Astyanax mexicanus: one gene and its partners. The protein of the gene in region 2 interacts with the protein of the main gene of each other region in a biochemical or structural test. Links are inferred from orthologs where the notes say so. Each region holds a gene or a part of one and is shown on either strand. Other genes may lie near its edges. The genes, in order: map3k1, ikbkb, map3k14a and tnfrsf1a.

Region 1 (7,735 bases), on a different chromosome or scaffold from region 2:
GAGCTCCACTTCATCAATGTTTACCATCAGCTTTTCCTTTTAAGGGAAAAAGCCAGCAGGGGGGCAATCATTTAGGCAACCTTGAGTAAACAAGCTCCCAACAGTGAAAATAAGGTGCCTGCATCACTTTGTGTTGTGCTGAAGTGGATAACAATTAAAGATGGGGGGAAAAAAAACACTGATCAAACCACAAATCTCATTTTTGTGGCTTTTTTTATGGCTTGGCATTGTGAATGAGAATATTCTTTATTAAAATAGATATGTGGTCCAGGACTAGGTTCAATTCCTGTCTAGGAAACAACCCAAGGTCATATTAAGGCAAGTTTGTTTATGGGAAAAGTGACAGAGTACATATACACATGGTCTGGAGAAGTGTTGGGTTTAGTTTAAGAGCCATTGTGTAGGCTGTGCCAGAGTTAATATTGTCTTAAGCACTCCTGCTGGATCACCTGGGCAATTCTAATAGGGCAATATATATTTATCATATTCAATGTAACTTAATGGACGTAAAAAGCAGACCTCCAGCCACGACAGAGTAATACACAGGCCTATACTTACAGCAGTAAAACGATTCCTGAATTAAATGCAACATTGGAGTGCCTACCAAAGCTGAACCACGAAACACCGAAATCGCTGCTAATGTAAATCAAAGCCGTCCAGTCTGATAAATTAAAGGCTTTTAATGCTTAAACACATAAATGCATGTTTGGATGATATTATCCTCATCTTTGTGGTTTAATATTGGGAGACAGATCAGAAAGATTTAAAGCTGTTCACCCCTCACATCAAAAACTGCGCAACTCTACTAAGCTGATAACATCTGGGGGCCCACCTCAGCAGGTGGGCGACACGGATTTAGTGATTCTGATTGGAGCAGGATGCTCAGCAAAAAACAACCCAGTTTTATGGTACAAAATAAAAACTGAAAAAGAGAAAAGTATAACACCCAACCACGTCAATACAACCCATGCAGCAAATACAATATGTAAAAGAAATGCAGATCAATAATGCTCCATAATATGCATATGAGTAGTATTCTAATAAATAGGTCTAATTTCATATGATGGGAAAACAGCATTAGTTCTGCAATAAATTATGCTATGGATTAATAATTAATAGGACACTTTGGATGAGCATCAAACCGAACATAAAAACAAATGAGATGCAGCTAGATAAATATGAATATTATAATCACAATATTTGCTGTGATATTTTGACACAGACAAAAATACATGAGGCAGATTCTCAGCAACTGCTTTTGAAAATTGTTATCCTAAATCAAAACGTGCTGTACCCAAACCAATTAAACAGTACTGATCTGACAAACACTGATGATAGTTTGTCAATATTGTAATTCAAGCAGTCTTTTATTGACTGTTAAGCTTAAAGGGTACTTTTTGTATAACTGCACTTAGTATTTTGGTACAGTTTTTTGGCTACATTACATTATTTTTATGTTAAAATTTATTTATGCATTTATTTATATACATTTATTTTGTTGGAGTAGTATTTTGTAGTATCAAAAAATATTGTTATCACAAAAACAGAAATATTGTGATATTAGTTTAGGGTGATACATCACACACCCCAAATCACGGTGCAATAAGAGAGGATTTGTAATTAAAACTCTGTACCAACACTTATATCACAGCTATATCTACAGGATGCTCAGAAAAGTACACAGTGATGAAAGATCAATATCGTCTAGGCCTGCCACGATAAGTACATTATCGACTTATTGTACAACAAATGGAAATTAACATATGTTTATTTAGCTGTTTATTTGTATGTTTGTTCACATATATAAAATGAACAGTATTTTAGACAGGCATGATATACAAGACCAATGCTTCCATAACTACAACTCCATACACACAGTGTGGGCAGGCTGCAGAAGGTGAAGAAAAAAAGTATATACAGGTCTGGAGAAAAATAAGAGACAACTTAAATCATAAGTTTCTTTGATTTTACCAAATTGAAAAGGAATTAAGAAGAAGATGGATGATCACAAGCCAAACTAAAGTGGTCTCTTTTCCATTTTTTCCAGAGCTGCATTTTTAATAAACTATAATTAATTTAATTTCTGCCAACTTAGAAAAAGTGTGTAATTGCTTTAAATTTTGATTTATGGTTATGTCTGCAGTATTAAATGTTCTTAAATGGCAAATATATAAAATAAGGCAAAAGTTTCTGGGACGATATATCGTCCACATAATAATCTTATCGTGACAGGACTAATATCGATCACATATCATACAGATTGTTCAGCCCCAGTTTCGAACTCAGAGTCTGACTTCAGTAGAACAACGAGCTGGAGTTTCTGAGAACTTCTTAGAGCTACTTTACAGTTTATACAAGTTTTACAGACACATTATCCAGGTGAATCGCAGCGGCAGAGAGACAGTACTGGAGTAAAAAATCTCCTTATCAGCCCCAAAAATGCTCATTATCAGCCTTGAATCTTTCTTACCTCTGCTGGTTCAGTTCTCCTGGAGCTCCGGCTGCAGCATTATCAGCGCAGAGTTGGTCGCTGCTGCTTCTGAAAGAAGTTTTAAGCAATTCCTGCGCGGCTGCGGCCAGACTGCCGCCGCTGCTCTGCTTATCGAGGAGCGGGTGTTCAGTCAGGGAGCTGCTGCTGCTGTGCTGGACGCGGTGGCTCTGCTGCAGGAGAGTCGCCTGCACTGCGCCGGGAGAGGACGCGGATAAGAAGTGGAGCTGCGCCGCCGCGGCTGAGGGAGCTGCCCCGCTCTCGGAAGCCAGCAGCAGCGACTCGGACCCGTCCAGATCCACGCTCCGCACTTTCCGCAGTTCTTTACGTCTCCATTGCGAACTCTCCGCCGCGCTTCGCTTCGCCTTGCCGGCGGCACCGCTCGGGAGACCGGGCACGCTGGAGCTTCCACGCGGAGAGTTCCCCGCGTCTAAACCGCCGCTCGAGTCCAACGGTCCTGACGACGAGGTCCGGCTCCCCGCCGTCGCCATTTTCTGTGCTGAATTTTGCCACTTAATAGGTTTGTGTGGTGAGTGAGTGGAGAGAGGGGAGGGGGGGCACGCGGGAAGCGGGGCGGAGCGAGGGCAGGCACTCCGCTCTGTTTACATAGTGATGGAGAGTTCGATTCATCCGAGCGAACCGACTCCTCAGAGTGAATCGAATCACTCCAACTCACCTGCAACTAAACTGACAGGAGCAGGTTCACTTATATTTAACGAACCGATTCCCAACAATTGCCCAGTTTACAAAGTAAACTTCTAATGCTGACCATACACTATATGGCTTTGAAAAGACTCTGAAAAGACTTGTTACTATTTGCAAGGCTGCAACTAGCTTTTTAAATTTTATTTATATATATACTTTTATTATTTTGTACTTTTCCACGGAAACCGTGTCCCTATCACTATCATTGTAAGGCTGTTGGAAATGCTGTGGGTGACGAAGGAGGGCTATTGATTTTTTTTCTCCCTTTTTCCTTCTCTCTCTATATTAATATATGTCCTCCCTTAAGAATAATGCATTGTTGCAGAGTGAAATAAAGTGAGAGGGGTGGTGGCGGGCCAAAAAAAAATTTAAAAATAGTATTCGTTATCACATTTCACTACACCCCAAGTCCATTTCACACCGGATTTCTACTTTAAACAAACAAACAAACCATATTAATAATAACAACAATAATAATAATAATAATAATAATAATAATAATTATTATTATTAAAGTCAATTTTTGATGACTACTTTTTGATTATGTTTTTTGATTATTATTATTTTTTGACTCAATTACAATTTACAAAGCAATACATAAAAACTATCATTCTATAAAAAAAAACATTAAATGTACCACCACTATTGACTTCTGTTTTATTTATTAACTTTTAAACAAACATGTTTTCCAATTTTAGTATTATTGTCTAACTACACTATATACTGTAGATACCATGTGATCTTCATTTAAAATGCAATAAAACTAGTGTAGTGTAACATATAAGACAATGTGGATGTTATACCCCAAAAATAAAAAATAAAAATAATTATGCAAAAGCTGCTGATAAAAGTTTAATATATGAATATTTTGTCATATGATATAATTTAAAAATGTCTTTTTGGTGTATGGGGTTGTATATCATTATTTAGATATTTTTGTAAGTTTTTGAAGTGATTAATGCTTTTTGTTGAAGAATTATTTTAAGCTTTTCGTATAGAACAGGACTTGTGTGTATGTTATGGTTAAAGTTTGCTTGATTTGGGAGTTAGTTCGACTGATTTAGGTAAAAGAATCGTTTAAAAAGATTCGTTCAGAGTCGGATCAGCGTGAGAACTATCACATTCTCACGCGGAGCGTTCATTCAACACGGGGACTGTCATTGACTTAACACTACTGAATAGTTAGCAGCACTGCCTTTAAATTCACCAGCTCCTTTATTTCACTCAAATATTTCACTTACAGTTTATTTATATTGTTGAGTAATTAATGTTCATCTAAAAGGTTTTCATTGTTTGGGCCTTTTCTACACTTAAATCTCCATTACAAGAACACAGTTAAGGCCATAAGAATATAATACAAAGAAGATATGCAGTATATATTTAATGTGAGTTAAGTTTCATACAAACAATACTAAATTAAACAATACTTATTTTTTAAGAAGTTTTTACACAGCACTAAGAATAACGTCAGATTGGCAAAAATTGATAAAAATTGTATATCAAATCATGGCACCTGCAGTGAATTGAATCTCAGGTTTGTGTTACACTATAAGTTTCTCTCTGCCAAACTTTTATTCACAAATGCCTCCAGCAAGGCATCTTCACTTAAGAAAAAAGTTAAAAAGAGCTGCATTGGAGCTTGTGTTACTGGGCGGCCAGCAAAAACAATTTCCTTTTAATTTAATGTAAGTAAAGTTTAACACAAATAATATTAAATTTAATCAAATTGAAGTCAACATCAAATTAATGTATTATAATAATTAAATTCTGATGTCGGAGATCAACATTGTTTTCATGTTAGAAATGAAAAAATGTCATTCAATAAAATGTTGCTATCTGGTTTGGGTTATTAAAGAAGATTTAGAAGTAAAATCTATTAACAAAATATGCTATATAATCTTTGCATGTAATTTGAAATAGGTTTGTGTGACTTTTATTATGGATTTATCTGTATCTATAAAAAATCCTACTTTTAAAACCCTTTAAGCTAGCTCTCACTGGTGTGAATGTGGCTGCTTGACATTGGACGGTAAAGCTAATATGGGTAAATTCATAACATCACATCATGGCTGTTTGAAAAGTGAAGCTAATGCCTTCATATCAAAATAACATCATAGTTAATTATTTCCTTTTACCTCATAACAGCTGAGAAATTATTGGCTGTGTGTCTGTGTGTGGTTCATTGTGTGCCGGTTTTCTGGGCCAGTCGGTGGCCTGGGAAGAGTGATGGCTTTGTGAACCTACAAATTACATGTTCTTCTGAATAAATCTGTCTTTTGTGTTGTTTCCGTCTTCCAGGTTATGTAAGGGCCTTTAGTGCCCCAGAAACAAACCAGATTTTAGCATCTGAAAGGAATTAACCTATTTTATTAGTGGACAAATGAGGGATTACGTATCACAGTTTTATTATAAAAAGATAATTCATTAAGCTCTGTTTTCTCTTAGGGGACCAGCACAGTATATGAACAAAATGAGCCAAGATATTATTTTAGTAGTAATCTGATTTTAGCCAGTTTGATAGGGGAACTATACCAGTTTCTAAAATCTCTTTGGAATTAAATGACAAATGAAGACAAAGTTATTCTAAGAGGTTTGGGGTAAAATGTCTCTTTATAGAGAAAGTTGTCCACAGATGTCTGCAGAGTTTAATGCTTCTACATTTACGGCATTTTGCTGACGCTGTCATCCAGTGTGACTTACAAGGTTATTTCTATTACAGAAGTGGGTCAATGTAGCATTAGTAGTCTGCCCCAAGACTCTTATTAGTGTAGAGCAGTATATGAATTGAACCCCAGTCTCCCACATAATGTAGTAGCTCACTGACAGGGGGTGGTGTTATCCACTGCACCACACCATCCACATAGCTTCTAAAAGTTAGATAACAGAAAGTTATAATTTGAAATGATCAGGGATATAATAGCAGCTGTCTGCAATGTGCTTTTTACATTGTTTTTATTTTCCACAGAGATTAAAACCTAGTCATAGACTTTCTTTTTCTTTCACTGGTAAATCTCCACTGGAAATGGCTGTGTAGTCTAAGACTAGGTTTTAGAATAATACTTTTTTTTTGGGAAAACTGTCCCAAAATGTGCTATGTGAAATATTACTATCTATTAAAATTTTATAACAAACTTACTTTTCCTAAAAACCCTTTTTACATTATGTAATAATCTTGTATCTCCAAAATATGAACTTTCAAGAATAGTCAGCGTAAAAGAATCTGAGCCCAACTCTGTTTGGAGCATTTCTTTTGACCCATTCAGTATAATTTTTTCACCCAGCATTAAGAATAATGTCAGGTTGGCAGGTTATGACAAAAAGTGAAAAATTGGCAAACATTGGAGATATTGTTTTGACAATATAAAATTTTGGCACCTGCAGTCACTTCAGTCTCAGTCTCAGTTTTTCTCAGGCGTACTTTTATCCTTAAATGTCCAGCGAGGCATCTCCACTTTGTTTTCCAGAGCTGGTAAAGTTAAAAAGAGCTGCATTGGAGCTTTAGGTACTGGGCGGCCAGCAAAAACCATTTCCTGTCAACGTGGATCCAATCTATCACTGAGAGCTATTCTTAGCCAGTAGGGCTTCCTCTGCAGCTCCTGCATTTCCTGCTCACGTGGAACGCTCCACAAACTATTTGTGCTCTCTCTTCTGTCATCTCAGCTCGCCTCAGCTCTTCAGCTCAGCGCCGTCCACTTTTAACTTCAGCTGAGTTCAGAGCTTTTGTGGAATCACGTCAATTGAAGTAGGCAAGTTTACATTAAATGCTGGAGTGGGTTCAAAACGAATATTCAGCACGGATCAGTGATTCTATTTTCTATAATTATACAACAGTGTCTTATTTTTCTTTTGAACTGTTTTCACAAGTACTTTTTGAGAAACCAGAGCATTCAGACTGAGACGCATCTGTACAGATCTGATTGTAATCACATTTCAGACCTCCTTTAGATTTAAGATTTGCTTAAATTAAGATTCAATATGTTTTTTTTTTTTTGCTGTCCAGACTATCAAAAATCTATCTCGATACAGTCTAGATCAGGGGTCTCAAAGTAGCGGCCCGCGGGCCACATGCGGCCCGCGACGCGGTTTCATACGGCCCCTCACGGGTTAACAAAATAAACATACATCTGGCCCGCAATTCAATGTAATTATTTATGCTTTATTATGTTCGTTTTCATATTTTATCTTAACTTGTATTTTGGTGTGTGTGCGTGTTTTTTTTTTTTTTTTTTTGCTTACGCTGCGTTGCCTGCTTTAGTAGTCTTCAGTAGCCTTCAACAGTCTAACCTTGCAGCCGTGGTGTGTCCACTAAACTCCGTAGTTATAAACATCCTGAGGTTAGCAGCGCGCTAACTGACCTGTTTATAATGTAATCCGAGCAGTGCCTCCGTGACGCTGCTCTAAACTGCTGCTGTTAGCTGCTTGGGCTGAAAGATGAACTGTAGAGAGCTGTATTATCCGGTTAGTGGGGTTATTTTATTTCATACACAGAAGAACTTACAAATTTTTAAAAACGCTCCAGACTGGCTCAGCTGAGCCCTGTAG
Region 2 (7,458 bases):
GGTGAGGAAACTGTCTGAGCAGAATAATAAGAGCACAGTTACGTAAACCTCCACTAATATTACAGTTCCAGCTGTTTTAGAGGTCCTGACCCAGACGCCTAAAATAAAAACCATTAGTGACTCTCAGAACACATTTATAATTTATCGGCATGCAGCCAGATACTATACAGCTTTGGAAAAAAACAAGATTCCACTTAAAAATGATGAGTTTCTTTGATTTTACCAAATTAAAAACCTCTGGAATATAATCAAGAGGAAGATGGATGATCACAAACCATCAAACCACCAAACTGAACTGCTTGAATTTTTGCACCAGGAGTAAAGTAGCATAAAGTTATCCAAAAGCAGTGTGTAAGACTGGTGGAGGAGAAGGGGGATTTTCAACCTTTTCCACCATATTTAAAGTTATAATCGGCTGCCAGGGTGAGGCAGGTGATGACCCGGTATGAGATCACCTTAAGAGGATGCTCATATATATATCATATTTCCTGTTGGGTTTAACAGGTTATTGTTGGTAATGGTGTGTGGTAAACAATAGCAGCTCTATTTTTATCTGTGTATTTCTGATGTATTTCTGAGGTGAGGTGAGACTGACTCAGCTTCCTTTACCATAAACGAAGATACTAAATAAACGACACTTCAGAGAAATGAAGAAAAGAAGCCCTGCAGATTATAAACACAGATCAATAATAATAACATTATTCTTTATTATACTTTATTATTATTCTCCTCCTTCAAATTTTCACTCTGTTCTTTAATACTCAGGACCCACAGAATAGAAAACCTAATGAAAATACTGATAAAGGACTACAGGATGACCAGCACAGCAACATGACCAGCATTACAAGATAGCGATGAACGTCTGACTGTTGGCATCTGTCTAGGTTGTATTCAGTCAGTGGAGCTCCTGTGTTTTCTGTTACCAAGATAAACAAGCAAATTTAAATAGCTCTGCTGCTGTTTAAACGAGGAATGTTGACGGGGTGTAAGATGGCGATGAGCATCTCGAGACATCCTGCGCAGGGTGTAAAATATACAGCTCTTTATCTGGATTTTTATCTGGAAAATATTAAACTCTTTACCAATTAATATTCGTCAGGTATCGAGTGTTACTAGTTTTAAAAAACACAGCTAAAAACCTTCCTTTAGCTGTTCAGCTTTCTACAAGTTCTGTACTGCTTATACTAGCATATTTTTTTTATGTAAATGCTTTTGTTGTTCTTATTCTTAATTTATCATTTTTGTTTACATTTATCTTATTTTATATTTTATTTTAATATAAATGTCTTATTTCCTACTATTTTATGAAATTGTTACTTTTTAATTGTTTTATTTGTTTTATATTACTGTTACATTTTGCTAATTTATAAAATTTTATTGTGAAGCACTTTGAGCTTATGTATGAAAGGTGCTATAAAAAATAAAGTTTATTATTATTATTATAAGTTTTAGACAGTGTTTTATACCTTGTTCTGCCACCGAGTAACATTTCCAAATCCTCCGGTCCCGAGTCTCTCCTTCAGTTCCCAGGGTCCGCAGTTCTGGGGCTGCATGGGAGAAGCTCGGCTCATGCTGACCCCTCAGGTCCAGCTCTCTCCACAGTCCTGAGGAGAAATTAATCATTAAAAAAGAGACAAGAATTAAACACACTTTAACCTGTTGCTGTTTTTATTTTACAGTAAATTCATACAGTTTGGGATGCCCTATTGATAAACAGCTGCCACCTGAATATATATATATATATATATAACCATCACTTGAGGTTAGATTTAAGATGATTCCCAATAATTCTCAAGAGGCAGTGCTATAACAGGAGTGTATTATTGCTTAATTATACCACAGTTCAATTATCACTGTTTATTGAAAGATTTTAAAGAGTTAAAGAGGAGGAGAAAATAGGATCTGTTTGGTTAAAATAGTTCCATTGCTGCTCTGTTTGTAGCTGCGCTGTCTGGTTTGTAAGCGCTGCATCGTTGCTAGGTTACCTGTATGTGGGCGTAGTAATACATGGAGAGTCTAGTTACAGTGCATTACCGGCTGATAAAGGCACTCATAGAACACCTTTCAGCCAATCACATTGCAGGGTCGGAACTAACTGTGGTATAATACTCTATTTATTCTTTACAATAACCATCACATTTACGGTTATTATTACGCTCTTATCCAGAGTGACTTATAAGTTTATTCCTGTTACAGAAATGGGCCAATGTAGTGTTAGGAGTCTAGTCCAAGGACTCTGGAATTGAACCCCAGTCTCCCACATGTTGTTCGTAGCTCACTGGCAGGCGGTGGTGTTATCCACTACACCACACCAACTACAACCATATGTACTTGTATTTGTTTGGGGCATTTAGTTGCTAATTAAATTATTAATTATTATTATTAATAAAATTAAATTAAAAACAAAGGAAATTTATATAGGACTGCAGCTTATACTTATAAAAAGAACAGGAATTTTTAGAAATGAAGTGAAAATAAGATAAAAAGAGATAAAGGAAACCAATCAAATATGTTTAAAACAAAAATAACCAATGATATTTCTAGTATTATGGTTAAAACTCTCGCGCGTGGGCTCTATCTATATCAGTATCAGTATTTTTATCAGCACGCGGTACATTCAGAACTACAGCAGCTCTGCTCTGTTTACTCCAGTTTTAGAGTTAATAAAGAGGAAAATGATGTTTTATAGTTTTAAAACAGTGAATAATGAGCTGTGTGTATGTGAGAGACAGTGTGCATTATACTTTATCTGTTTATTTAATAGTAAAATAAGAATAAAACAGTAAAACTAAACAACACATTACCTTTATCACCTGAATCCGCTCCTTCACAACAACAGGATCAAAGTCACCGCTTCTAAACACTTAAATACACTGTTAAATACGATGTAACTACCGCGCTGTTATACCCAGTGTTTATATCTGTTCTTTAATCTTTAATAAAGCGGTAAAATGTAGTTTTTAAAGCTGAATCTTCCATTAAAACTTCACGCGCACACACTTCCTCATACTGAAAAGTGAAAAGTCACTTCCCGTAAACACTGAGCTGCGTTTTTTTACACACCTGTAATCAGGTAAACCCCGCCTCCTCTCGGAGAGGATTGGATACTTAAATCTAACAAGCCAATCAGGGGACAGAAGCTCTCTACGTCTAGCCAATCCTGGCTGAGAATGTGGCCGATACAGTCATTGGGTGGGACAATGTCAGAAAACGGGTGGGAAAACTAAGCGCCTCGTTTTATCAGACAAATCCTGCATTTATAGTGTAAAATCTGATAAATTAATTTATTTTACTGAATAATTACCCTAAAAAAGTATATTATAAATGTACTAATAAATATTTATAAAATAATTATTAATAAAGAAATAATTATCAAGATATATTCAAGTTAATATTAAAACAATCTCTTCTATTAAAGTGTACTTAAAATCCTTAAAACCTAAAGAGTCACTAAAACCCTGTAAACCATTTTATTTTTCATTAATAGCTGAAACGTGTCCCTTTTTGAGGTAAAGAAACATACCAGTCTTGGTATTTTTTTTTTATATTTATATATTTTCAAACCTTTACAAAAAAGGCTTTTATTATGGTGGATTTTATTTCTGCCTCTGTAGCGCCTTCACAGATTTAACTGTGCTATAGTTGTGGAAGATGTTTCTGTGTACTTTGGTACATGGATACTCACAATAAGCAAATCAATCAAGCAATCAGTCAATCAATCAATAATACCGCCCCCCTGCTGACGACATCCAACCATCTGCATCTCACTGCTATCAGAGGCACACTGCTCTCCCTTCTGCCCCGCCCCTAAACCCATACATCACTCAGTGCCCCTTGTAAACTGCTAGATCTCTGATTGAATGTGTATGTGGGCACAGATGTTCGCTTAACTCAAAATATTTGAATAATGTTTGGGAATTACAGTGTGTAAAAGGTAAATAAATGATGGCAGGAACCAATAGTTTTATAAACTTTGGTAATACAAGTTTCCAACATTTTGTAACACTCATAAATAACAATTTAGAGTTACTATGATATTTAAAGTATACAATGCAACTATATTGAAAAAAAAACTATTATGAAGACATTTAAAGAGCATATATTAGTATTCTAAAGCCAATTCTAATAAGTAAAATACATTTTTCGAATTTTATATTACAGTAAACGTAATCTTGACCCTGTCCCTCATCAGGCAGTGTTGAGTCTATGTGTTCATTTCCTGGTACAGGCGTGAGCTCGGTGTTTCCGGCTGTAGTTCCCTGTGTGAACAGATTTACACACCTCTACCCCGGACCTTCCTCACACTCACTTCCTCCGCAGTTTTGGTTCAGATTGAGGAAATGTGTTTATTTAATATTGTTCTGCAGGATGTGAACACAGAGGCTCTGCTCTCTGATCTGATTTACTCCTGTACTTAAAGTATACTTAAATTATACTGAATTAGGACTGTACTAAGTTATGTTTTTTTGGAACCACTAATTTGTACTTTATTAAAATTGTAGTTAAAATTATATAATTATATCAGTGTACTAGTCAAATATTTAATACACTATTTAACGACACTATTTAATACAATTTAAGTATATTTGTGTATGCTGTGTATTTGAAGATATCCTATAAAGTTAACTTTATTTAAAACCTGAAATGTTCATCAGCACAGTTTTAATTTTTATAAGCAACACAAAATATGCAAAAAAAATGTTTTGCTAGCAAATTTCACTAAAGTACAGTTTTATTGAATTCAATAAAAGTATAGTTTTGTGATAAAAATGCACAGTTTTATAAAATAATATTAAGCATGTATTTTATTAAGTACATCACCAGTACAAAACTAGGTAAATTAAGCAGGTAAAGATATATGTATAGGCAGAAAAGTATATGATAATTATTCCACATGTAGTTCAAGTACACTAATATTATATTAAAAAAATATTTTTTCACAAGGGTAGAATCCTGCTGATAAATTCTCAGCAAAGACCCTCAGATTACACTGAGTCTGATTTACCAAAGAAAAGCCACAATGATTAAATCAGTATTTCTTGTGTAATCTGTTTTTCCATCATTCCAGTGCAAAACAGAAGAGTGTTTAGAGAAGAGAACAGCACGGTTTCACTGTAAATTTATTTACCTCCGGTGTTGGATGATGAAAGTGGGAATGGCGTCACAAACATTTAAAGTATGTTTAGTTAATTACAGTATTATAACATATTAATATACAGCTCTGCAAAAATTAAGATTTCACTTCAGTTTCTGAATCAGTTTCTCTGATTTTACTATTTATAGGTTTATGTTTGAGTAAAATGAACATTGTTGTTTTATTCTATAAACTACAGACAACATTTCTCCCAAATTCCAAATAAAAATATTCTCATTTAGAGCATTTATTTACAGAAAATGAGAAATGGCTGAAATAACAAAAAAGATGCAGAGCTTTCAGACCTCAAATAATGCAAAGAAAACAAGTTCATATTCATAAAGTTTTAAGAGTTCAGAAATAATCAATATTTGGTGGAATAATCCTGGTTGTTTTTTAATCACAGATTGAATTTATGCATCTTGGCATCATGTTCTCCTCCACCAGTCTTACACACTGCTTTTGGATAACTTTATGCTGCTTTACTCCTGGTGCTTGTTCTGCCAACGTGAAACATTTCCAAATCATCTCAAAGTGAACCGTTAGTTTCAGACAGTAACTGAATAAATGTGTCTGATTGAGTTTGTTAAATATTTGTGATCTGGAATCTGGATGAGCTGCATCTTCATGGTATTTAATTAATGTTGGTCTGATTTGGTGACCACTAAATAAACACCAGAAAACAACTCAGTCTAACTTAACCGAAAGCATTTAGATATTTAACTCAAATCATCCCACATTTATCACAGTTATTTCCCACATTTCCACATCTGAGAGACGGTCTGATCACTAGTGTTAGTGACGGGGAGGGAGGCGGCGCGGTGACGGTGTTGTTGGGCAGTGTGTCGTTGTCTGTTGGTGAGCGTGACGCTGATGGTGAAGTGACGTCCGGATAAAACACCCCTAACTACAGGAGTGTGTTTACACCACAGCTTCCTGTTAGTGAGTGAACTGCAGGATGATACAGGGCAGTAGTCCTGAATATAAACACGCCTGAGTCACGCAGCACCAGATATTCAATCATTTAAATACACTGTGATTACTGTGGGTATATTACATATTCATGAAAACTGATAGTGACACACATTTACATTTTATCACTTTTATTAATATAATATACTGTTTATTACACTGTAAAGACCTGCACACTGCTTATTTAAAATGTTAAGGAAATCCAAAATATACAGAAAAAGGTAACTTGCTCTTAAAGCCACCAACACTGAGGCCGGACAATCTGACAATCTGACAATCTGACAAAGCTGCAGGTAATTAATGAGAAACATCAAGGTCAGAGAAATGAGTAAATTCAGCATCACTGCAGGTGTTTTGTTTGTTAGCATGGAGCATTCTCGGTCCAGTTGATCATTTCCATCGCAAAGATGTCAAACGTTCACCTAACTCAAAATACTTGAGACATAATCGCTGTAAATAAATGTAATCTTACCTAAAAAAATGATTATTCTATTTACATTTTTGTAAACATTTATGAACATTTTTACAGTGCAACACCCCCACTTTACCCCCACAAATACCCAACTGACCCAACCAAACTGAAGTGCTGGATGGAGCTCCACCATTCCAGAGAGACCTTCTCCAGATAAATCTATTCTACTGACAAAACCTGTGCACATCTGTGTCAGTAATTCATGCAACATAAAGTAGCTGAATTCATTCAAACATCTCAAAAATCATAACGATTTCTATACTTCTCAATTCTATATGTATCCTTATTTACAGTCAGGGCTGTAGAAGTGACTTTGGATTTGTGAGTCTGTTTTTTGCAGCCCAAACCTGTTAAACAGTATATGTGTTCGATCTTTGCATATTTTACTGCATATGAAAATATAAATACGATTTAGGATATATATGATTTAGGATATATATGATTTAGGATATATATGATTTAGGATGTGTATGATTTAGGGTATGTATGATTTAGGGTATGTATGATTTAGGATATATATGATTTAGGATATATATGATTTAGGATATGTATGATTTAGGATATGTATGATTTAGGATATATATGATTTAGGGTATGTATGATTTAGGGTATGTATGATTTAGGATATATATGATTTAGGGTATGTATGATTTAGGATATGTATGATTTAGGATATGTATGATTTAGGATATGTATGATTTAGGGTATGTATGATTTAGGGTATGTATGATTTAGGATATATATGATTTAGGATATATATGATTTAGGATATGTATGATTTAGGATATGTATGATTTAGGATATATATGATTTAGGGTATGTATGATTTAGGGTATGTATGATTTAGGATATATATGATTTAGGGTATGTATGATTTAGG
Region 3 (6,950 bases), on a different chromosome or scaffold from region 2:
TTCAGTACCTGCTTTTTGTCAGTGGAAAAAAATAGTATAATATTTTATTAGCTAATTGTTCAATAAGTAGTATTTATTCAATATTATGACATACTAATTATTCAGTACCTAATATGTAAGTAGTACAAATGAGTATATTAGCTAATTGTGTAGCGCATAGTTTTTATTTAGTAACTACTAATTATTCAACAAGTACCAATAATTTCATGCCTACTTATAATCCGAAATCTAATCAAATCTATTCTAATCTAATATAAAAACTAAGATGAAACTCAATATTAAAAGTATGCAAAAAGGCCTTAACAAAACTGAAAGTGTTACATAAAAATGTTTTGGGGGCTTGATAATAAAGCAAGTTTCAGGTGTATGATTTACGCTTAATGAAGCTTCCATTAGCTAGATGTTTGAGAACACAGAATGTTCAAATACAGACAATGGATCTTTTTCTCAGTGTCAAAACCTTCCACATTTTTATAATTTCTAAAGAAATGGTATAACTGTGTACAATGTGAGTACTTTCTTACTCTAGTTTGCACAGTATTTTTCTAGAAATGAATGTCAAAGCTGCAGTATAACAAAAGCTAATACTATGTATGCAAACATGTTGTACCAAGTAAACCAAGACGCAAATGTATTTGAATTTCAAATTTCTTTTAAATTTAGATGTGAAATAACAGTATTTCTTTATTCAGTATTGATTTATTTGTTTATATTTCAGATATTCAGTGTTGAACATTTTAGTGTGGGAATTTTCTGGCTGCTCAGGCAACATCTACTAAACACAACATACACACACTCACACCAAGGACACCTGCTTACACAGAGAAGCTAAAAATACAACATGGATACAAAGCTATATTCAGTTTACAATGTGGACTATGTCCATGCCAGTCATTATGCCAGCTACCTTTCAGGTTTTGCGTTCATAAAACAGCATCATATCCCATGTTATTAGTGCTCTATTATTGAGTCATTAGTGCAGTATAAATACAATTAAATTTATTCTGATAATAAAATAAATATTCCTAGCATCTCTGATGATAATCACGAACAAAAAAACATTCAAAAACTAATACGCTAAATGTGTTGCCTATATTAATCATATTTACATTAGTTTAGAAGCTGCTGCATATATCTGGTGTACTTTAATATGGTTTTATTTTTAAAATACAATTTTTGGTCATTTTTGTTAAGCTACTTCTGCACCCATATTGAAAAGAAGATGCTGAAAAGATATAGTGTACAAGTGAATCTCCAAAGAATTAGAATAGTATTGAAAAAATACTTTATTTCAGTAATTCAGTTAAAAAAATAAGCATTTATTTCTTTTATTGTTGATGATTATGGCTTACAGCCAATGAAAACCCAAAAATCAGTGTCTCCGTAAATTAATACATTATATAAGACCAACAGGGACTTTTGGCAGTTTGGGCAGTGTGCCAAGTCCTGCTGGAAAATGAAATCCGCATCTCTATAAAAGTTGTCAGCAGAGGGAAGCATGAAGTGTTGTAAAAATTTTCCCGGGAAAACACTGCACTGGCTTTGGACTTGATATAACACAGTGGACCAACACCAGAAGATGACATGACTTCTTAAACTTCAAGCAGTTTGGACTGTGTGTCTCTCCACTCTTCCTCCAGACTCTGGTCCCTTGATTTTCAAATTAAATTAAATTTACTGATGGTTAGTGATGGTTTGGAGAGCCATGCCATCTCCTGTTGTTGGCCCACTGTGTTATATAAGTCAGTGCAGTGTTTTCCCGGAAAAACTTACAGTTCTTCATGCATCCGTCTGCTGACAACTTATATGGAGATGTGGATTTTATTTTCCAGAAGGACCTGGCACACTGACCACACTGCCAAAAGTAACAACTGGTCTTATGTAATATTCAAATTTTCTGAGATACTGATTTTTGGGTTTTCCTTAGCTGTAAGCCATATAAGCCATAATCATCAGCAATAAAAGAAATAAACACTTAAAATAGATCACTCTGTGTGTAATACATCTATGTAACATATAAGTTTCAGGTTCTAACTTTTCAATGATACTCAATTTTTTTAGATGCACCTGCATAATAAATGTTGGGACCCAACATTGTTAATCTGTTTCAAACTAAAGTTAAAGAGTTGTTGAGTTGTTCAGAGTTGGTAGGGGAGGTGTAATTGTGTTGTAATCCAGGTAAGAGAGCAGGTGTGATGCTGCTCACCTTTCATGAACATCATTAGCAGGCAGGTCTTAAGGAGCCTGCAGTGAATTAGCGTTAGAGTTAACAGTTCAGGAAATGATGTCTTTCAAATGAAGGCCAAACGTTACACCCATAATTTGAACCAGGACAGCTAACCTATCTAAACATGTTTAACCCATAAACTACAGAACATATTCTTTAAATGCTATTTAATAAAACAGAACATTTAAACACCTAAACACAGTCGGTTACCTAGTTAGCTAGCTAATATTTCTGAGGTAAATGTATGCTAAGCTAACTACCTTAATTAGCAGTTAACGTTAACTGTTTTTGCACAACTTGGCTTCCTAATAAAGTAAAGCATTTCCTACAAAAACTCGCTAACCTAATAAAGCTAGGAAGCAAAAATGGTCAAAAAATATAAGTTTAAGACTCGGTTAAACAGCCAACCGTCCATAAAACTAACTTCAGCGCTGAAACAGAGGTTTACAGCCGAGTTCAGTCGAGGAGGGCTGAGCTAGCGATACAGCTGCTTCCACTTCCTCCTTCTTTAATCCGCCATTTCACTTATTAAACAAAACAGCTTTTCTCTCTGAAATAAACTCGAATAAAGTGGATTCCTCCGTCACCTCCAGCTCAGCGAACAGACACTGTACACACAATGAGTAGTGAAAGTGAAGTAAACTCACCGGTTAATGTGTGAGAAGTGAAGAAAACGCAGGCGAATGTCTCGTATGTGTGTCGTTGTGCTTGCGGTCTGAGAGCTGCTGCTGCCTCTGCTCGAGGTTCCTCCTCCTCCAGATACTCAGCAGAGCTTCAGCTCTGGGCTCTCTGACTGATATCAAAACCAGTATATAGACACTTTATCAATATAGAGCAGAGAAGTTAATAATTGTGACACTGTATTGGTCTTTACAAAATGCTAAATGCCTCTTCTGTATCAAAGAAATGCAGCAAAAAATGTATAACAACTGTTCAGTTCCTTCTGGCACATTTAGCTCATCATAGACTTTAAGTGTTTACATCCTGTGCATTATGGTGTTACACTGTATATACAGCTCTGGGAAAAAATAGAGAACACTTAAAAATGACGAGTTTCTTTGATTTTTACCAAATTGAAAACCTCTGGAATATAAATAAGAGCAAGATGGGTGATCACAAGCCCTCAAACCAAGCTGAACTGCTTTTGCATTATGTGTGGAATGAAGTTATTCAAAAGCAGTGTGTAAGACTGGTGGAGGAGAACATGCCAAGATGTGTGAAAACTGTGATTAAAAAACAGGGTTCTTCCACAATATATTGATTTCTGAACTCTTTATGAGATTTATTTACATTATTTGAGGTCTGAAAATTTTGCATCTTGTTTTGTTATTTCCGTCATTTCTCATTTTCTGCAAATAAATGCTCAAAATGACAATTTTTTTATTTGGGGGAAATGTTGTCCGTAGTTTATAGAATAAGACAACAATATTCATTTTACTCAAACATGTACTTATAAATAGCAAAATCAGATAAACTGATCTGTCTCTTATTTTTTCCATATACAGTGGATTTCAAATGTATTCATTCTTCTTTTAAGTTTTTCTCATTTTTTACCTTACAACCACACACTTAAATCTATTTTATTAATTTTAATTGTTAGAATTAAAATTATGCTTTCCAAATTTTATTCATATACAAATCTAAAAAAGTGTCACGTGGAAATAAAATCTACTGCAATTAATTGCCCTCAGAAGTCAATTTGTCAAATAGAGTCCAGTTGTGTGTAATTTAGCCTTGTAATTTAGAACGTGTTCTGTTCTGACCTCAGAGGTTTGTTAGGCTTACAAGCCTCATTCCACATTCACAAATATAAGTGACCTGTATCTGTGTGTAATGTAAACGAATCTGTCCCTGAAACGCCTCACATGTGCACATTGATACGTGTATAAATGTCGCCTTCCTCACCAACAACAAGAAAAACCTTTAAGAGACATATGTGAGAGACAACCCATTACTTAACTTTTTTAAGGCAACCGGTTTCCTCCATTTTTTTTATAATAAATTCAACTTATCTGGGCTTACAGTGTACCAAGAAATGGTCATCCACCCAAACTGACAGATGAAGTAATTATATATAAAGTAATTATATAATATATTTATATACAATATCATATCGCCTACCCCTAAACAAAAACTATATGTACACAAATGTTCTACCTCTTTCCATTTCTAATTTAGGAAACATTACATAATGAATGGATTTGAAGAATGGAAAGCTAAAAATGAAAGGAAAAGTACAGAAGTCTAATATTCACTGAATCAGAAATAGGAACATCTGGGTGTGAATACTATCATTTTAGTATTGTCTGTAATAAGCTGTATGACTTGATTTGCTTTAGATACATTAATACACATCTTTATATGCAATCTCAATGTTTTTTTTTATGGAAATCAGGAGTTGATGTTTACTGGGATGTTTAGGTATAGATTTATCTGTAGCTCCACCTGCTGTGCAAACATCAAAACCACTGAACAGAGATAAAATGCCAATGTTACAGAAGTACATGCCACCCAAAACAAAACCTTTCAAATACATTATTAGAGCAACATTTTAAAATGAAGCAAAACTGTCTGGGATTAGAATTATGAATATACATTTTTTATATATAGATTGACCCTATATATACTTTATGGACAAAATATTTCTTCCACTGCGTATTCATTTCTTCAGAAATCATGGGTATTACTTTTTTTTTTTCAGAATTAACACCAAATCCAAAGTTGATTCAACCCAGCTGGCATTTCAACGATGAATCAACGGTCATCAATCAATGTTGATATTATGGTTGAATCAATGTTGGATTTGGTGTTGATTTTGAAAAGGGAATCAACATTGATATGGCAACATTGTTTTAACGTCGTATGTTCAACCTTTAATAAACCATAGCTCACATTCGGGATTGTATGCCATTGTATGCCATGATGAAAAAAATTAGCATATTATTTTTATTTTCTCTCTCAGAATATACATCTCTGAGAAGTAGGAACGGTACAACTAGAAAACAAAAAGCAAGTACTGCAAGTAGCTAAAACTAGAGTTTCCTATGGTTAACAGTGTTAACAATAAACATCACTGTAGTAAAGTTGAAAATAAAGAATGTTACCCACCACTACCAATCTCAACCGTGAAACAAATAGAACATGAACATACTCCCAGGTATGCAAATGAAAGTAAAACCATGTTTTATCCCTCCATCCATCTGTTTTTATAATTGTATGGTGATGAAATGTAAAATGCTAATTTAAAAGGCAGAAGGCTGAGGACATTTTGAACAACCATGAACAAACTTTTGAACAACCATTTAAAATGATATGTTGTTGCAGTGGTGTTTCAATGTTGAAACAACTACAGACTACTTCAACCATATTTCAACGTTGAAGTTCAGTTGTGTGCCAGCTGGGAATGTTGATTCAACCATAATATCAAGGTTAATTCAATGCTGATTCAATGTTGAAATGCCAGCATTACCACACCCCCTGCATCTCTTAAAGGGCTAGTAAATAAATGGTTGAATCAAATGTATGATAAAATAGTATTCATTCTTGATTCAGTATTTACAATCTTCAAATATATAATTGTGGCGTTATTGCGCTGACACACTTTAAAACCCCACCCCAGAATTCACCAGTGGAGAGGATAAGGAACTCTAATAAGGTCCAGGATTGAGAAATGGTTTAACCCTTTCAGATGCTACATCCATTACAATGGACATCATGTATTTTCTTTACTTTTTTAATGTTTTGTTGTACATAACACTATTTGAGAGCTGTTGTCTATCAAAATAGACCATTATTCAGCCAAGGAACAAGTTTATAAAACTTGGAAAACACTGAAAAACAGTATTAGAGCAATTGCGGCAAAGTAACTAAATACATTTGTACTAATTTAATGTGATTTAGAGCACTTTTAAATCATTTTTTACTGTTTAGGGATGGTTTATAAAATAAGAAGGTCAATATGACATAACATATCACACACATTAAAAATCATTATTCAATATTTTACTTAATTTGATTTATTTGCTATATAGATTTTATAGTTTAATGTTAGAGTCTTTTTTTCTGTGCATTACAGACAGAAAATAGCATTCATAGCTACATTTGTTTCCATCACTGGAGATAATTCAGGTCTAAAAGGGTTACGTGACTATTGGTTGTGTTGAGGCCTACAATCACTAGAGGGCGACTTCTTATTCTTAAATTTTCATTGGGCACATTTTACAGTATTGATAACAATACAGGATAAAGCTCATGAAGCGTTAAACTAAAAGATTTTAAAACTTTAAAGCACTAGCTAAAAGGGTGTTAAATAGAGCAGTTCTATATGGAGTTGTTGAAGACATACAGTCTTTATTTTAATATATAAACTATCTATATAAGATAATAAATATATAAACTATCTATATAAGTATATTTTGCACAAATTAATCTTATTAAAAAGGACGCGGAGTCTCTCATTGAGCTAATAATGCATTAATATCATTTGCAAGTGCTAAGAAAACGACATATTTGTCAAAACACAAAACACAAGCAATCTATTTATGCTCGATAACAAGCCCGTTGTGCTTTGGCGTAGCGGGAGGACTTGCAGAAAGTCATCTGAGGTATCAGTCCATTGTGCGATTGGACGGGCGAGGCGTCAGTCAAGGCTTCGCGCGCTGTCATTGGTCTGTTTTCGCGTGTGTGGGCGGGTCAGGCGAATTGAGGCTCGAGTCTGAAAGCG
Region 4 (7,478 bases), on a different chromosome or scaffold from region 2:
GATCAGACTACATAGTAACCATACACTGTCATTTAACGCTCCACGTCTGTTCAAAGTTTCCTCAATTCTTCTCTGGAACTGACTTTGCCCTAGGCATGATGATTATCTCATACCCCATGCCCACTTCCTTTACGGCATTCTCAGACTCTGTTACTGTACCTGGTGGACACCGGTCACAGCAGAACCCAGTCCCACTCTCGTACTCGTTATCTGCGCATTTTTCTGATTGGCTGCTGTTGTGTCCAGAAGGGTTTTCATACAGTGCTTCCACTGCTGTTAGACTTAAAACAAACTGTGTGGAGGAAATTAACATTAAATTAAGAACATTAAACATTACAAGATCTGAAAACATGAACATTAGAAGTGTAATTATAGTATATGTATTGTTAATATATTGTTTCACTAGTGTATATATTAGGTTAGGTGGCTTCTTACCAACAAAATCAAAGTGTGTGCCACACAACTCCTCCTCCATTTGCTTCTGTCATGCCCAGCATCCATCGTGGCATGGGGCTTGCACTTTTACTCCATCAGAGAGTACAAGGCAACACTGGAGACAAAGACAAGGGCAAGGAGGCGGTGAGAAGTGAGATTTTTTTTTTTATTTTAGTCAGCTTATGACAACAAATGCCTCTTATATGTTGCTACATATCTGCTAAATTTAAATTTAAATAAGATCTGATGTAGCTGCTGTTAACCAGCTGAATTTTATTTAAAAAAACACAGTTAGTACTCTACAGTATTAGAAGTAGCAGCAAAAAAAGGAAGGGGAATCTGGAGGAACATCACATGAGCCATAAAGAGCCCAATGCTATGCTAGAGTGTTGTGTTGAGTGTACAAACTTAATCACCAAACATCTGTACCAATGATCAATACCACCTCAGGGGTGACTGGTGTAGACAGATCCTAAACAGGCCTGACACAATAATTACATTATCTTTTTATCATTCAAAATATGGCCATGACATCAATCATTTTTGCAGAACAATTCTGTTCACCTGTGTATTCATTTACATAATAATTAATTTCACCAATATTTAAGCCAGTTGTGCAGTGGCCAATGCATCAGTAACGGTGTCTCCATACAAGGCCTGCACAATATATCATTACAGCATCAATATCGCAATGCAGCCACATCGCAGGGCATGCAATATTTTGTGTAATTTCATTCACTTTATTTCATTTTTGCTGCTTAAACTAAAGAAAAATCCACATTCTTCTCATTTTACATAGGAATTTTACAAGGTTTTGACTTCTGGCAAGCTTGCAATATATATTGCAGAACAATTAAATATCACAAATGTATTTTTTCCCAAAAGCGTGCAGCCCTACTGCATACACTGTGCAGACTTTGACAGGTAAAGGTGAGTTACCTGAGCAAAATATGCATCAAATATTTAAAAGGCAGTATGAATTTCCATTAACATACATATACATCTTCCAGACTATTATTATGTCTTTTAGAAGTTGTAACATTATGGTGCAGCATAAAAGGGTCTAATAACAACAATGCTATTGTTTATCACAATTTTTTCTGACGTTGGTAATTAAAAATAGCAAATAAAATGGTCTTATAGTGACAATAATATTGCTTATCACAATTCTTTATGGGATAATATATGATCCAAATTAAATGTGCATATTGTGACACAACTATTCGAACTAACGATGTAACCAGTAAATTTGATTAAAAGGCATTAAGAATTGAAATCATACATCTCCCAAACTATTATTATTATTATTTAAATGATTTTGCTCTTCCAGAGATTTCCGGAGAGATATTTAAAAAGTATATGAGTGGCATACAATCGTCCAATAACAACAATACTATTGTTTATCACAACTGTTTCTATGACAACATATGGTCCAAAAAAATATGAATCAGGAATAATAATACCAAAAAAATACCAAAGAAGCTAATAAAATCTCACAAACTATTATTATGCATTAAAATGTCTTTTGAAGGATACGTATTTCTGTGCTGTTATTTTAATAATTTATGACAGAATAAAATGGTCCAATAACATTATTTATCACAATAATTTCTGGGACAATATATCATCCAAAAAGAGTAGTTATTGTGACAGGAACAATCCTAATATTGCCAATAGAAAATAGTAAATAAAATAGTCTTATAATGACAATAATATTGTTTAGTACCACTATTTATGCGATAATATATGGTTTAATTCTTTTTTTATCAACAATACTATATTTTATCATTTTTTTTCTGTGACAATATCTTATCTAAAAATAGTTATGATGACCGGAACAATCCTGACGTTGGCAATTAAAATGTTAAATAAACTGATCTAAAAAGATTTATTACAGTAATCATTTAATCCAAAAATATATTTACTGTGACAAGCCTGTTAAAAAAAGATTTTTCCAATTTAAAAAAGTACTATTTAATCTGTAGGTGATTTAAATGGATTTTTACTGAATATTAATGATTTAAAACAGATAAAAGGACATTAAGAAGTCTGACTTCTTAAGAAGTCTGACTTCCTTGAAATCTGCTTCCCTTTCAGTTTAAGTGCTTAAGAGTTGCGCAACTTTCTTTCTGACTGATCAGTTTTACAGTTTAAACCGCCAACAAACACAAATTAACCAACAGTCACAAAATTTAAGACATTTACTCACTAATCTCACTGTGTACACTATCGCCCCGCTGTTAAAAACAAACCACCGATTATAATAATAAATGTCACATAATTTTTTCCACTCTTTTTTTTACTTTCGGTGTCGCTCTCCGCCCACAGCTCACGATTCTAATCTAGTTTCCGTTTGCTGGTTAAACTAAACTTACCTTCTGAACCGAGTGAGCCGAGCCTCCGCTTCACCTGCGGGCTCTCCTATCCAGCAGGAGCAAAACCGCCGCGGCCATAAGTTCACAATACAGTCGATAAAAATTAAATCACAGTGAAAAATCAGCAAACAGAGCGGAGAGGTCCATTTCTCCTCCGCCACAAGGAGACAGACCTGACTGGAAACGGACGGCGTCACTTCTTTTACAAAATACTCCACCTAAAAAAGGAAAGAGCTCAGACCAGCAGAGGGAGACATAGCCAAACCAGTTTACAAGTTTCTTAACAATAAGTTAAGAAACTTATTAAGTAACAATAAGTTTCTTTATGAGTTTCTTTGATTTTACCTACCTAATTGATCCAAAAAGACTGGTGGAGGAGAACATTCTGAAGGCCTTGCAGCTTTTTTTTCAGGCATTTCTCATTTTCTGCAAATAAATGCTCTAAATGGAAATATATTTGTTTGGAATTTGGGAGAAATGTTTTCCATAGTTTATAGAATAAAACAACAATTTTCATTTTACTGAAACATTTACCTATACATAGCAACTTTTTTCACAGGTGTATGTGTATATATATATATATATATATATATATATATATATATATATATATATATATATATATATATATATATATATATATATATATAGTCACATTAACTCACCTCAACATGCCTTCTAAGGAGGGAAAAAAAACTCTGCCTGCCCATACTAAAAACTAATTAAGGTGGGCGCCTTTCTCTCTCTCTCTTTCCCACACGTGATTGGATAAGAAAGTCTGTGTTGCCAGGTGTGGGGGACCTATAGGCAGATTTTCACATGCGTCAAGGCACTCTATTTTTACCATGGCCAAATATTGTGGGTCATTGTCATGGTGGAAGACCCCTTGCATGACCCAGCTTTAGTTTCTGACTGAGAATGTAAAGATTCTACAGTATATATATGGCCTGTTCATCAGCCCTTTAATGCAGTTAAGTCTTCCTGTACCCTTGGCAGAGAAACAGCTCCAAAGCACAATGTTTAACTTCTCTGTTTGACAGTAGGGATGGTGTTCTTGGGGTCATATCCAGTATTTCTCTGTATATTTGATACCATAAAGCTCAGTTTGAGTCTCATCTGTACACATGTTTTCAAGTCTTTTCTGAATCATTCAGGTGTTCACTGGTAAGCTTCAGATGGGCCTGTACATAAGCCTTCTTGAGTATAGAGACTTTGTGGGCACTGCAGAATCTAAATTTATTATGGCAAAGTATGTTTCTAATTATTTTCTGGGCTCCCAGTTACCTTGAAATCATTAACTCATCAATCAATAAGCTCCTCACTTCTTTCTTAGAATCATCCTTATTACCCCGCGACTTGAGACCTTGCATGGAGCTCCAGAGAGAGGGTAATTGACTGTCCAAATTCTCACACCAACAGTGTCCTGTTCCTCACCAAGCTTTGTTCTTATGGTCTTGTAACCCATTCCAGCATAGTGCAGGTCTACAGTCTTGTCCCTGATGTTTGACAGCTCTTTGGTCTTGCCCATGATGGTCAAGAGGACTGAATGGAAGAGACCAATTCTATGATAAATGCCTTTTATACACATAAAGAGGTGAGATAAAAAATCCTTTCTTAAAGGAACAGGACTAATTTGAGTGCTTAATGAGTGCTTCATGTTTTTGTTCTGTATATAGCTTGTATTTTATTAAACTTTACTTCTCATTCAAAATACATTTGATGGAACCATTCTGACTAATTCATCTAAATTAATTACATTACATTACACTACATTACATTACATTTACATTACATTACATTTGGCAGATGCTTTAGTCCAAAGTGAATTACAGTGAATTCCAGTACATTTTGAAAACATAAATGTTGGCAATATGGTAAAAAAAAAAAAAAGATACACAATATTTATGTTAGTACATTTTGAACAAAAATGCATTGGGAAATATTATGTCTCATGGAAATGTATTTAAATTTTATGTTATAATATTTTTTACCATATCGCCAAGTTCTACCAAGATAATAAATAAATACTGAAGAGTTTTTATTAATCTTATCTATTTTTAATTTACCTTGCCTTATCTTTGATTTTCTTAAATCATATTCTATTTTATCACTTTATCTTAGGGTTGCAAACAGATGGTGCTAACGGTTCCTTAATTCTTGTTGAGTGCCAGGATGTATAATGGTTTACCAAAGGTTGGGTAAGAGTGGCAGAATTATGGCATCTGAAACTGAAGAAAAAAAGGTACAACACAGAGCCTTCAGTCTATATCTGAAAGTGCAGAGTGTTAAAGCATGACATTCTGTGGTAGCTCAGTGATGTCATGAATTTGATTAAAGCGTAATGAGTCAATTTACCCCAATTTCTGTCATTTCTATGTCAATCCTTTCACCATATAAAGGTTTCTGAGCTACTAGCAGAATGCTCTCATAAGCCTCCTGGAAGACGTTAAGATCTTAACTTCTTTAGAAAGATGACAGATATCCAGATTATCGATATGAAATATCTTCTACATCATACTGACTAATTTTCGAAATGTGTATTAGATTTTAATCAGGATACAGTGAAATATACTAACCCTGGAGTTTAAAACAGCTAGACCTTCAATAATTATTCTGCCAGCAGCACATTCTTAGGGGCAATACTGAGCATTACTAATGTTAATCTATAGAATGAAACAGAGAAAATTGAATAATGGGCAAGGGATATGGGGGTCACTCCTAACTTCTGACACACTAGTGACCCTTTAACAAGAAATGTGATGCTGTGAATGTCTGATAAAAGGGCAGTGAATGAAGTATCACTTTGGGTATTTTTTATTAGTATCATTCACTTTTCCAGCCTTTTCTTGCACTGTCCTTGCACAGTCCTTCTTAAGATGCATTGCTCCCATCATGTTCAAAATGAGTTTTTGTTTTTCATGAAATGTTGAAATGCCTTACGTTTAACATCTTATATATGTTCTATGTTCTATTGTGAATAAAATGTGAGTCTATGAAATTTGCAGAGCATTGCAATTCTCTTATTTACTTTCATTTACATTCATTTTTGAGATTTGGGGTTGTATTTATTTAGATATGTTTATGTTTTAGTAATAAAATATTATCAGGTAGGTGTGGCATAATGCTCTTAGATATTATAAATGCTCAACCCGATCAGCATTGAATCAGCAAAACTTGTACATTATGTTGGAGCAAATGAACAAGTGTATTGGTATAAATCTCAAGTGAAAAGCAAATGAAGCATTTAAAAATAATCAGTGGTTTTATAGCATAAGTGTTCACATCTGATGAGTTTAAGATTCGATAATGTACAGTTTATTAAGCCCTTTTAAGTAGGCAGGCGTCACACAGCGTACAGCTTTACTGTACTGGTAGATTTATCAGGCTTGTGGCCTCTTATCAGGAAAAATCAAACAACATGGCCACTTACAAAAAGCATTAGGTGTCTGGCCTACATGTGGGGATTTTTTTCTGCAAACTCTTTGTCACGTTTGTTTACAAAAGCCCCTTTATTCTAAACTAGAACACTAAAGCAGTGTAATGTGCTTTCTCTATTAGAACAAGGGGCCATATTCAGCAGCCATTCTTAGAAAGAAGCCTTTTCTTAAAACTTCTGAAAACAGTTTTCACAAAGATTCTGACTTTCACTCCTGGTTTGTTATTTCTTATTTGGAATTTCTTTAGTTTATGGAGACAGTGTGATCCTTCATTATTAGAGCATTGCTGTGAAGAGTGTTGGGGTTTAAATGCACATTATGAACCTATTTTTTCTCAAGAACAAACTGAAAAACATTCTTAGGAAGTGAATACTGGTGAATGAGGTCCTTTGATCTGTGCAATGTTGTAAATAATCAGTGATCACAGGAAGTTGCATTTCCTTTGAAACCTGCGGTTAACTTCCAAATGTTAGTAGATACCTTTTCTGATTAATGGATTCAGCTAAATAAAGTTAAGCCCATTTCTAAAACTGTAGATAAGAGTATTTCCAATAGAATAAGACTACCCCCTTTGAATAATGGTGATGCTCCATCCAATACTTTGGGGAGAGCTAGGCAGTTATGGAGGTTTATAAGGTCGGGTGGTGATTATCCAACATCCTAACCCCACTAACACTCTTGTCAGTGAATGTTATTAAATCATGTGAGCAATGTTCTGAAATATAGTAGAAAGGCTTTTCCAGGAGAGTAGAGAGAGTTACTGAATACAATGAAGGTTTATATGACATCCAAACAATCAATTGATCAATCTGATCAATATTTTTGTGTTACTTGACATGCTTTTTGTACTCAACTCTTACTTATTATAGCACTTTAATGCTATAATTAATGATTCAAGCTGTACTGCAGTTCTAATAACTCTGTTGGCCCCTTCTTTCGGGTTGGATCTATATATATTTATGCTGTCTGCACCAGTTTTTGACCTTTCTTAGCAGAAATCAAGACTAATATTGCATTATTCTTGTCTTTGGCTCACTGCAGCCTCAGCTTTCTGTTTTGGGCTAAAAGAAATGGAACCTTACTTGGTATTTTGGTGTAACAGACCATCAGCCTTGAGGTTGGATGTGATGTGAGTTCTATGCTTTCCTGTACGCATGACGACTGACTCACATATTCTGCGTCTTCAGAAATGAACGTGACGTGTACGTGAGGTGCAGTACACGCACAAATC

What was found.
Region 1: of the proteins of ikbkb (region 2) and map3k1, one has a biochemical effect on the other in vitro, tested with the Homo sapiens proteins (3 studies listed by BioGRID and IntAct). The link is inferred for Astyanax mexicanus from reciprocal best matches to the Homo sapiens genes IKBKB and MAP3K1.
Region 3: of the proteins of ikbkb (region 2) and map3k14a, one has a biochemical effect on the other in vitro, tested with the Homo sapiens proteins (3 studies listed by BioGRID and IntAct, with this or other methods). The link is inferred for Astyanax mexicanus from reciprocal best matches to the Homo sapiens genes IKBKB and MAP3K14.
Region 4: of the proteins of ikbkb (region 2) and tnfrsf1a, one has a biochemical effect on the other in vitro, tested with the Homo sapiens proteins (2 studies listed by BioGRID, with this or other methods). The link is inferred for Astyanax mexicanus from reciprocal best matches to the Homo sapiens genes IKBKB and TNFRSF1A.

The regions. Positions count from the first base shown.
Region 1 is NC_064427.1:27,156,003-27,163,737, forward strand, and holds the start of map3k1 (mitogen-activated protein kinase kinase kinase 1), read right to left. Parts: upstream 3,024-7,735; 5' UTR 2,980-3,023; coding exon 2,471-2,979; intron 1-2,470. UniProt on the Homo sapiens protein: Component of a protein kinase signal transduction cascade. Activates the ERK and JNK kinase pathways by phosphorylation of MAP2K1 and MAP2K4. May phosphorylate the MAPK8/JNK1 kinase.
Region 2 is NC_064419.1:217,788-225,245, reverse strand, and holds the start of ikbkb (inhibitor of nuclear factor kappa-B kinase subunit beta), read right to left. Parts: upstream 3,025-7,458; 5' UTR 2,805-3,024; intron 1,605-2,804; 5' UTR 1,572-1,604; coding exon 1,467-1,571; intron 1-1,466.
Region 3 is NC_064426.1:23,745,630-23,752,579, reverse strand, and holds the start of map3k14a (mitogen-activated protein kinase kinase kinase 14), read right to left. Parts: upstream 3,001-6,950; 5' UTR 2,875-3,000; intron 1-2,874.
Region 4 is NC_064413.1:39,278,159-39,285,636, reverse strand, and holds the start of tnfrsf1a (tumor necrosis factor receptor superfamily member 1A), read right to left. Parts: upstream 3,024-7,478; 5' UTR 2,811-3,023; intron 551-2,810; 5' UTR 502-550; coding exon 436-501; intron 293-435; coding exon 160-292; intron 1-159.